Linked DNA regions of Daphnia pulex. The protein of the gene in region 2 purifies or fractionates together with the protein of the main gene of each other region. This does not show direct contact. Links are inferred from orthologs where the notes say so. Each region holds a gene or a part of one and is shown on either strand. Other genes may lie near its edges.

Region 1 (3,912 bases), on a different chromosome or scaffold from region 2:
AAAAAAGTTGACAGCTCGTGGGAAGAAGGTAAATACGGCTTTCGTCATTAAACTTTAATTAAAATCAAAATTAATCGTAGCCTTTTCTATTTTTTCAAAGTTTTCTTTACCAACACCAAAGGGAGGCAAATACGCTTGCAATCCAATTCTCGTAGAAGACCAAAGAGAAGCTCAGCAACGCGCTACTCGTCTAGGTCGTACTAAAACGAATGCCCTAGATCCCGACTATGTTGCAGGTTATTAAACAAGTTTTAAATTGAAATCCTAACCGACTAACAAGATGTTTACTCGACTCGTGTAGGAAATTCACCTTTTGCTGTCAACGATGTCTATTCTCGCGCAGCGCAACTTGGACGAACAGGTCGTGCAACTAGCAACTTTAATCGCCGGAACCCTGCTGAATATCGTAAAAACAAAAAACGTTGATTGTATCCTTAGGTCTGTGTTACGAAAATATACTATGCCAAGCGGCTGTGTTTAAAAATTAAATTAATGCAAAAATATTGGTGGAGTTCATTACTTTGTATTTACGTAATACAGTGTAGGATGCCTTTTCAAGCGATTGGAATTTGTACGCCAGCCAATCAAACAATTTGTAAATTAGTCCATTGGAACTTAAGGTGTGAGAGTCAGACAATTACAGGGAGGAGAACAAACAGGCATAATTCAACCCGTAACAGAACATTTGGGTTGAATGTGTCAGTGACAGTATGCGTTGGTTGAAACCAGAAAGCAGTCTGGTGACAACGTACCAAGGGATTTTTTCCGAGTAGCCCCATACATCAAGCTAAAGTAAATCTTCACATCATAGGTTCTTTCTGTTATGTTTGTGACATCTTCTGCTTTTCCCCAATCAATCGCCGATCCTCGGTGACAATGAGGGGTTAACACACACAAGTTGAACGGCTGCTGAAAGATATAAAATTCCCGTTCAGAAAGTTTAGATTGGATGGCTCGCTACGATAGACCTGCAAACAAACGGATTATCCAGAAGGTGGTAGTAGGGAAAGAAAGAGGGGAAAGGTAACTAAGGCAAGGGATAAGAATAGAGAGGTAAAACGGGAAGGGGTACGATTAAACGTGGCAGGTGTACAAGGGGATAAAAGAGTGAAGGAAATTAGGGAATAAGGTATTTTCCGTAAGTTCTAAATTTTTAATTAAAAAAGAACAAGGTGTTTTCTTCCACGTACAATTCGAGAACTCGTCTCCCAATTCAAGAGTAGTTGTAGTCATCTTGCAGCTGATTGGTTTCTTTCTAGCCCAATCTTCTCCGAACCAATCAGTGTTGTGACTGAAGATTGTTAAATATTCGTCATCTTTATCTCTTGCGTGGGGGCGTTTTACTGTTGTTCCGTCTCTTGTTCGGACTTGATGAGGTAGTGCTCGACGAGCTTCTAGATGAAGATCTGCTGCGTTTGCGAGAGCGTTGGCGATCTTTTTCGCGTTCCTTTTCACGATCTCGTTCCCGAGCACGCTGCCTTTCGCGCTCGTTTTCACGCTGTTTCTCTCTTTCACGTTGTCGCTGTTGCAGCTCTTCGTCCCTGCGTTGCTGAACTTCTCGTATACGAGTCTCTCTTTCAGCAAGCCTCTGGCGACGCATCTCTTCCTTCTCTGCAATTTGACTTGCAGTCAGGGGCAACCAATAAATGAATGGAGCGGCTTTGGTTTTTCGGAACAAATCGTCCAACAGTTTGGCGGGCGTTTCGTCTTTTGGTTTGAGTTCTCCGTCGTCTTCCCCAGCGGGGTGTGCTCCTTTGTGGGCTTGCTCTAATTTCTCGGATCCTTGTTCACCAGTTTTTCCCAAATCCCATTCGCGTACTTTTTCAGCCTTGTCTCGCTTCCCTTCAATGGACTGGATGGCTGCGGCGGCCGCTCGCATTGTTGGTTCAATTTTGGCTACAGGTGGGTTGGTTGTTTCTTTACCAGACATGCGGTTCTCTAATTCTTCTACAGTTGAGTAATCAACCAGGAGGGTTTTGGGATTAGATGTAGGCCAATGAATTCCGTGTAAGGCAGCCCGAGTTTCTTCAGCTTCTTCCTCAGTTTCGTACTGTAGACACAAGAAAAATATAAGTCATCTTTTATGAACTGTAAAAAAGGATTGAAGAAAATTACCTGGATCAAACAAGAGGACTTGACTCTATCAATCCAAAACTTTCCATCGATGAGGTGTCCAGTACGAGCAAGCAATTCTTTAAGCTGATTAATAGTAAATGGTCGAACCAAATTTGAAACATTAAGAACGGATGATCGAGGTTGTTGGGCTGGACTAGTTGCTTCTAATAATGGGGCAGCAGCAGCTAGAACAACTTCTGGTTTAGCAGGGGCGAAGGCTTCGGCCGCAATTTCAACTGCTACACGTCTCACAACCTCCATTTTTTCAACTTTTTCAGCAGCTGGTAAATGATGGTCTTCACTTTCTTGGGCCTGATTAACGGTGGGTTTTGTTGAGGGTTGAAAGTTAGGACTGCCGAGGCGAACTTCTTCCGCTGAGAGTGGTTTAGCATCCGGTACGAGAGACTATTTGAAGAATTGCAAGCAATTATTTTTGTGCTCACTTAACACATGAAATGTATTGATGTGTTACCTTAAGGGAATCTGTGGAAATAACTAAGGCAGGCTTCTTGGTAGGCAGAAGCTGGCTAGTTCCCCATCTTCGTTTTCTTGGTGCTTCAGTTTCTCCTGATTCAGCCTCAACATTAGGCAACTGTTTCCTTATTTTCCATTTTCTCACTGTGTCTCCTTTTATTACTTCAGACTGAGGTGCTACTTCAACCTTCTGTTTGGTGTCATGGGGTGATACACTCCTTCCATTCCTGTTTCTCTCAACTTCTGGGCTGCTTTGTCGTGGGCTAGGTGATCTGGAACTTGAAATATTAAAGAAAACACTAACTTTATTGCTTGTTGTTGTGACATTTAATAAAAACGCCTACCTTGATTTTTCACGCCCCTGGTCACGATTGTCAGCAACTTCTTCTGCTTCAGGTGCTTCTGTAAGTTTCAGGCTTTCATCAATTGTTTCAGTGGTGTCCATCTGAAGTTCATCTTCTTCATTGTCATCAGTGGGTTGTTCTTCAGGAACTGGGTCTACTTTGACAACTGGTTGCTCACACACATCTGATTTGATCAACGGTGGCGTTTCGTTTTCGACAGCCATTGCAGTCACAGCCTACAGAAATAAATATTAGGTTAAGTAAGTAAATTGATTCAATGAAACAATGCCATATTACACACGTGGCAGATGCTAGTGAGATACCCTAGTGCCGAAGAAATATGACTAACAACAAAATGGTATCACGTGTAAAGATAAGACTATTAATATCAAGTTACAGTTTAAAAACTCGGAACGGCCAACGACAACCGATTGTTAATACGCAACAGATCTTATGAGCTTAAAGGTTTGTGACGACAGCGAGTTTTCATTCTGCTAATTCTCTACCCCTAATTGAAACAACGTTGCCAGGTACTCAGAGGGAGTGAAAAATGGGAATAAAAGAAAAAATTTAAATTTTCCATAAAGAATTGGGTCAGAAACAAAATTTAAATGGTACATAAAAATTATCTGAAATTATGAACAACTCTAAATAAAAAATTTATAACATTTTTAGAAATATTACCTTAACCGGGGGTGAATCGACGCTATCTTCTTGCGAATCGGTAGGTTTAGTAACTTCTTCTTTAGACTCTTTCGTTTCGGGCTGATCCTTCAACTCAGGCTCTTTCGTTTCGGGCTGATCCTTCAATTCAGGCTCTTTCGTTTCGGGCTGATCCTTCAACTCAGGCTCTTTCGTTTCGGGCTGATCCTTCAACTCAGGCTCTTTCGTTTCGGGCTGATCCTTCAACTCAGGCTCGCATTTCATGATTGGTTTGTTTTCACACAGATCCGTTTTCTCTGGCTCGGATTGATCGGTT
Region 2 (3,026 bases):
GGAGAAAAAGGGTGTAGGGAAAGACATTGACCACCCTTCTTGATGTACTCTTCCAGCGGATCGTGCAAGTCATTATCAGACCATCGAGAAGCAAGTACTAGGAGGCTTGTGTTGCTTAGCCAAGCTTTTTTAGAACGAAATGAGAGTTCATCGAGATGGTAAAGGGCATAACTGTCAATCAATGTTACATTGTTTAAGATCAAGAATCCAGATATCAAATGTCTATACTGTTTATATACCAATCCGGCTCTAGTGTGGATTCAAAGAGGGCTCGATATTGCTGAAAAACTTCTTTGTCACTCGTACATATTAGAATGTTGGGCGGTCTTGCTGAGGAGGCCAGCAGTCGTTCCACAGGTCTCATGACACCAGCAATTTTGGTTACCTGTTACCAACTGGTTGTAAAAATTGCTTTAGTTATAAATTTGAATTAACGTGACAACTTACGAATAACATGAACAGCCCCACTGATGTGTGAAACCTGGAAATGAAATGAAAGAACACTTAAAGACGATTGAATACCTTTCGCAGAAACATTAAGTGTATTGCGGCGTTCAAAAAAGAAAATTGTTATGATACAAAACATTGCTGGTCACCAACGTGTCACTGCCCCACTCCCATATCGTCCAAACTAGCATCTGTTTTGCTTTCTTCATGAAGGAGAACATATTCGCGGGAACTGAAGCCAAACTTCACCACATCCTTCTCGAACAATTCGACGTAACGTTTGGATTCAATTTTTTGATTATTTACAAAAGTACCATTGGCTGCTTCCAGATCAATAATATATGGCCGGACAGTACGTCCTGCAGTTCCATCAGGCCGTTCGTAGTTTACCAACCGAAATTGGATCGCAGCGTGCTGTTTCGAGCAAGAGGGATGGTCGATTGGAATATCAGCAACTTTACGATCTCTTCCGATTAAGTAGGCGCTTTGACGGTGAAGGTACAACGTAGGCAATGCCTCTTCCCCTTTAAAGACGTAAAAACGCCACCGTCGCTTGGGAATTCTGGCTTCAGGTGGTTCACTGTATTTGACCACCACACCATTGAAAACATTCTTCTCTTCAGTCAATTTTCCTGATAGACCAAAGTTGGGTTTTTGCTTTTCAACGAGTGTTCCTTCTTCTTCTTCATCTTTAACTTGTTGGCCATACTGGTAGTTGGCTGCTTCAGCATCTTCACTTCGGGGGCTTTTGCGTCTCTGCTTAAAAGGTCTTGGTGGTCGATCTTCTGAATGTGGTTGCTCATGCCGTCTTGAAGGCCCTTCATTGTGTTGTGGACGTCTGAAACTTTGTTCATCATCACTAACTGGTTCTTTCTTGATTTTAACTGGAATTGGTGGGTCATTTCTTCGATTACTTTCTTTGTGTGAAACTTGTGAATCATGTCTCCTGCTGTCTGATTTCCGACTTCTTTCATAGTCATCACTTCTTGAATGGTAATGGTCGCTTCGTGAAGATTTTCGTGGTGGGGAAGAGTCACGTTCTTCACGACGTCTGTGAGTCTTGCCTCTTTCATGGCCTCGTTCGTGGGACCTTTTGGGACTCCTCTCGTCTTCGTTGTGCTTTACCATGGCGATCCAAACGAAATAAAACAAGATATGCACAAGTACTCTCTAATTACCTTAATGTTTCTGGCGTATTTCTCAAAAAAACGAGATCAATTCAATGTTTCAGTTTCAGTTTGATACAACTCGTTTCTCGGCTTGTCAACATGAAATGGTGTCGCAACTCGTAACCGTTGCCAGATTTACTTTCATCCACCACCTGTAAACGGCTAGCCGCTAGCGGTCCGCCGTCCGCGGACCTGCTCTCTGCTGCCTCACTGCCTGCTCTTTAATGTATTTATATTCTCATTTTTTTATGTAATGTTTTAGAAATTGAGTAATGCTTATGTATGCCAAATTGAGAATTTTTGTAATCGATTACAGCATAACATTTTCGAAATCAAAATTATGTTGTTAGAGAAGTATATTTTTCTTTTGCTCGTTGGGTCGTTGTAAAATATTTAAATAAATATTATCAAATATCTGATATTGTAATACATATTTACGTGGATTTAATAATTTTGCATTTGATTTAACGACGAAAACCAAATCGTTAAAATTTGATGTGGCACTCGCTGAGTCGCTGTTGAGTATAAAAAAGGAGGCCACGGTGTCATTCAGTCGTCGCGGTCTTTGTTCGATCCTTTTTGCCGTTGCGTTTTCATTTGTTGTCTGAGCTCTCGCACGATGACAAACCCCGAAAATCCTTCAGTTCCTCCCGAAGTTGTTCCAGAGTGGAACATAAAATTCAATCCTGTAGAAGTGAATGGAGACTTGAAAGAACACTTCACAAACTACGAGCAGCATGGACTGATGAAGAGCGAACCTGGTGGTTTTCTCTTAACGGATGAGTATGCACGCCATGCCAAAGAAATTTCACGTTTTCAACCAAGAAGCGACGACGTTTGGGTAGTAACCTTTCCAAAATGCGGTAAAATCCTTTTTCAATCATTTTTAAGATTTTTTTTATGTAATAGCTACATTTTTATAAAATAATAATTCGTAAAAATAAATATCCTAGTGGTATTTGTTTAGCAATTACTGCTATTACGTCACAATTTATTTCTTTGTCATCAATTTTTTTGGCCGTAGCCTTGAAAGTCTAGTAGCCAAATGGCAACCTTGTATTTCTCCCCGCCTATTTTAAAACACATAGTTTGAAACAAACAAATACAAATCTCTCGGATCTTGAAAGTGTTAACTTTTCGTATTCTCCCGCACATATAAAATTGATAACTTTGAATTTGTTTACTTAGGAACGACGTGGACACAGGAATTAGTGTGGATGATTCTCAACAATTGTGATCCAATTGGATCTAAGGCACCACTAATAGTTCGGTCACCCTTTCTAGAGTATGTCAGTTGTTGGGATGTCATTGAGAGCTTTAACAAGACATTTCCGTTTTCGGTTTATGAACTATATGGACTCTTTAAGGTTCCCATACATGATTGGTAGCTGTCTTCCACCAGAGCACAGC

What was found. The genes of interacting proteins can lie anywhere in the genome.
Region 1: the proteins of smad nuclear interacting protein 1-like (region 2) and apoptotic chromatin condensation inducer in the nucleus-like purify together in Homo sapiens (affinity purification with mass spectrometry; 3 studies listed by BioGRID and IntAct, counting the BioPlex papers as one, with this or other methods). This does not show direct contact. The link is inferred for Daphnia pulex from reciprocal best matches to the Homo sapiens genes SNIP1 and ACIN1.

Annotation. Positions count from the first base shown.
Region 1 is NC_060026.1:13,524,094-13,528,005, forward strand, and holds the end of apoptotic chromatin condensation inducer in the nucleus-like, read right to left. Parts: coding exon 3,618-3,912; intron 3,170-3,617; coding exon 2,934-3,169; intron 2,868-2,933; coding exon 2,588-2,867; intron 2,521-2,587; coding exon 2,116-2,520; intron 2,051-2,115; coding exon 1,319-2,050; 3' UTR 508-1,318; downstream 1-507. Other genes in the region: RNA-binding protein NOB1-like, read left to right, coding at 1-28, 101-236, 302-426.
Region 2 is NC_060018.1:419,629-422,654, forward strand, and holds smad nuclear interacting protein 1-like, read right to left. Parts: upstream 1,632-3,026; 5' UTR 1,576-1,631; coding exon 604-1,575; 3' UTR 520-603; downstream 1-519. Other genes in the region: biotin--protein ligase-like, read right to left, coding at 1-171, 240-385, 448-456; sulfotransferase 1B1-like, read left to right, coding at 2,236-2,479, 2,805-2,901, 2,984-3,026. UniProt on the Homo sapiens protein: Required for pre-mRNA splicing as component of the spliceosome. As a component of the minor spliceosome, involved in the splicing of U12-type introns in pre-mRNAs. Down-regulates NF-kappa-B signaling by competing with RELA for CREBBP/EP300 binding.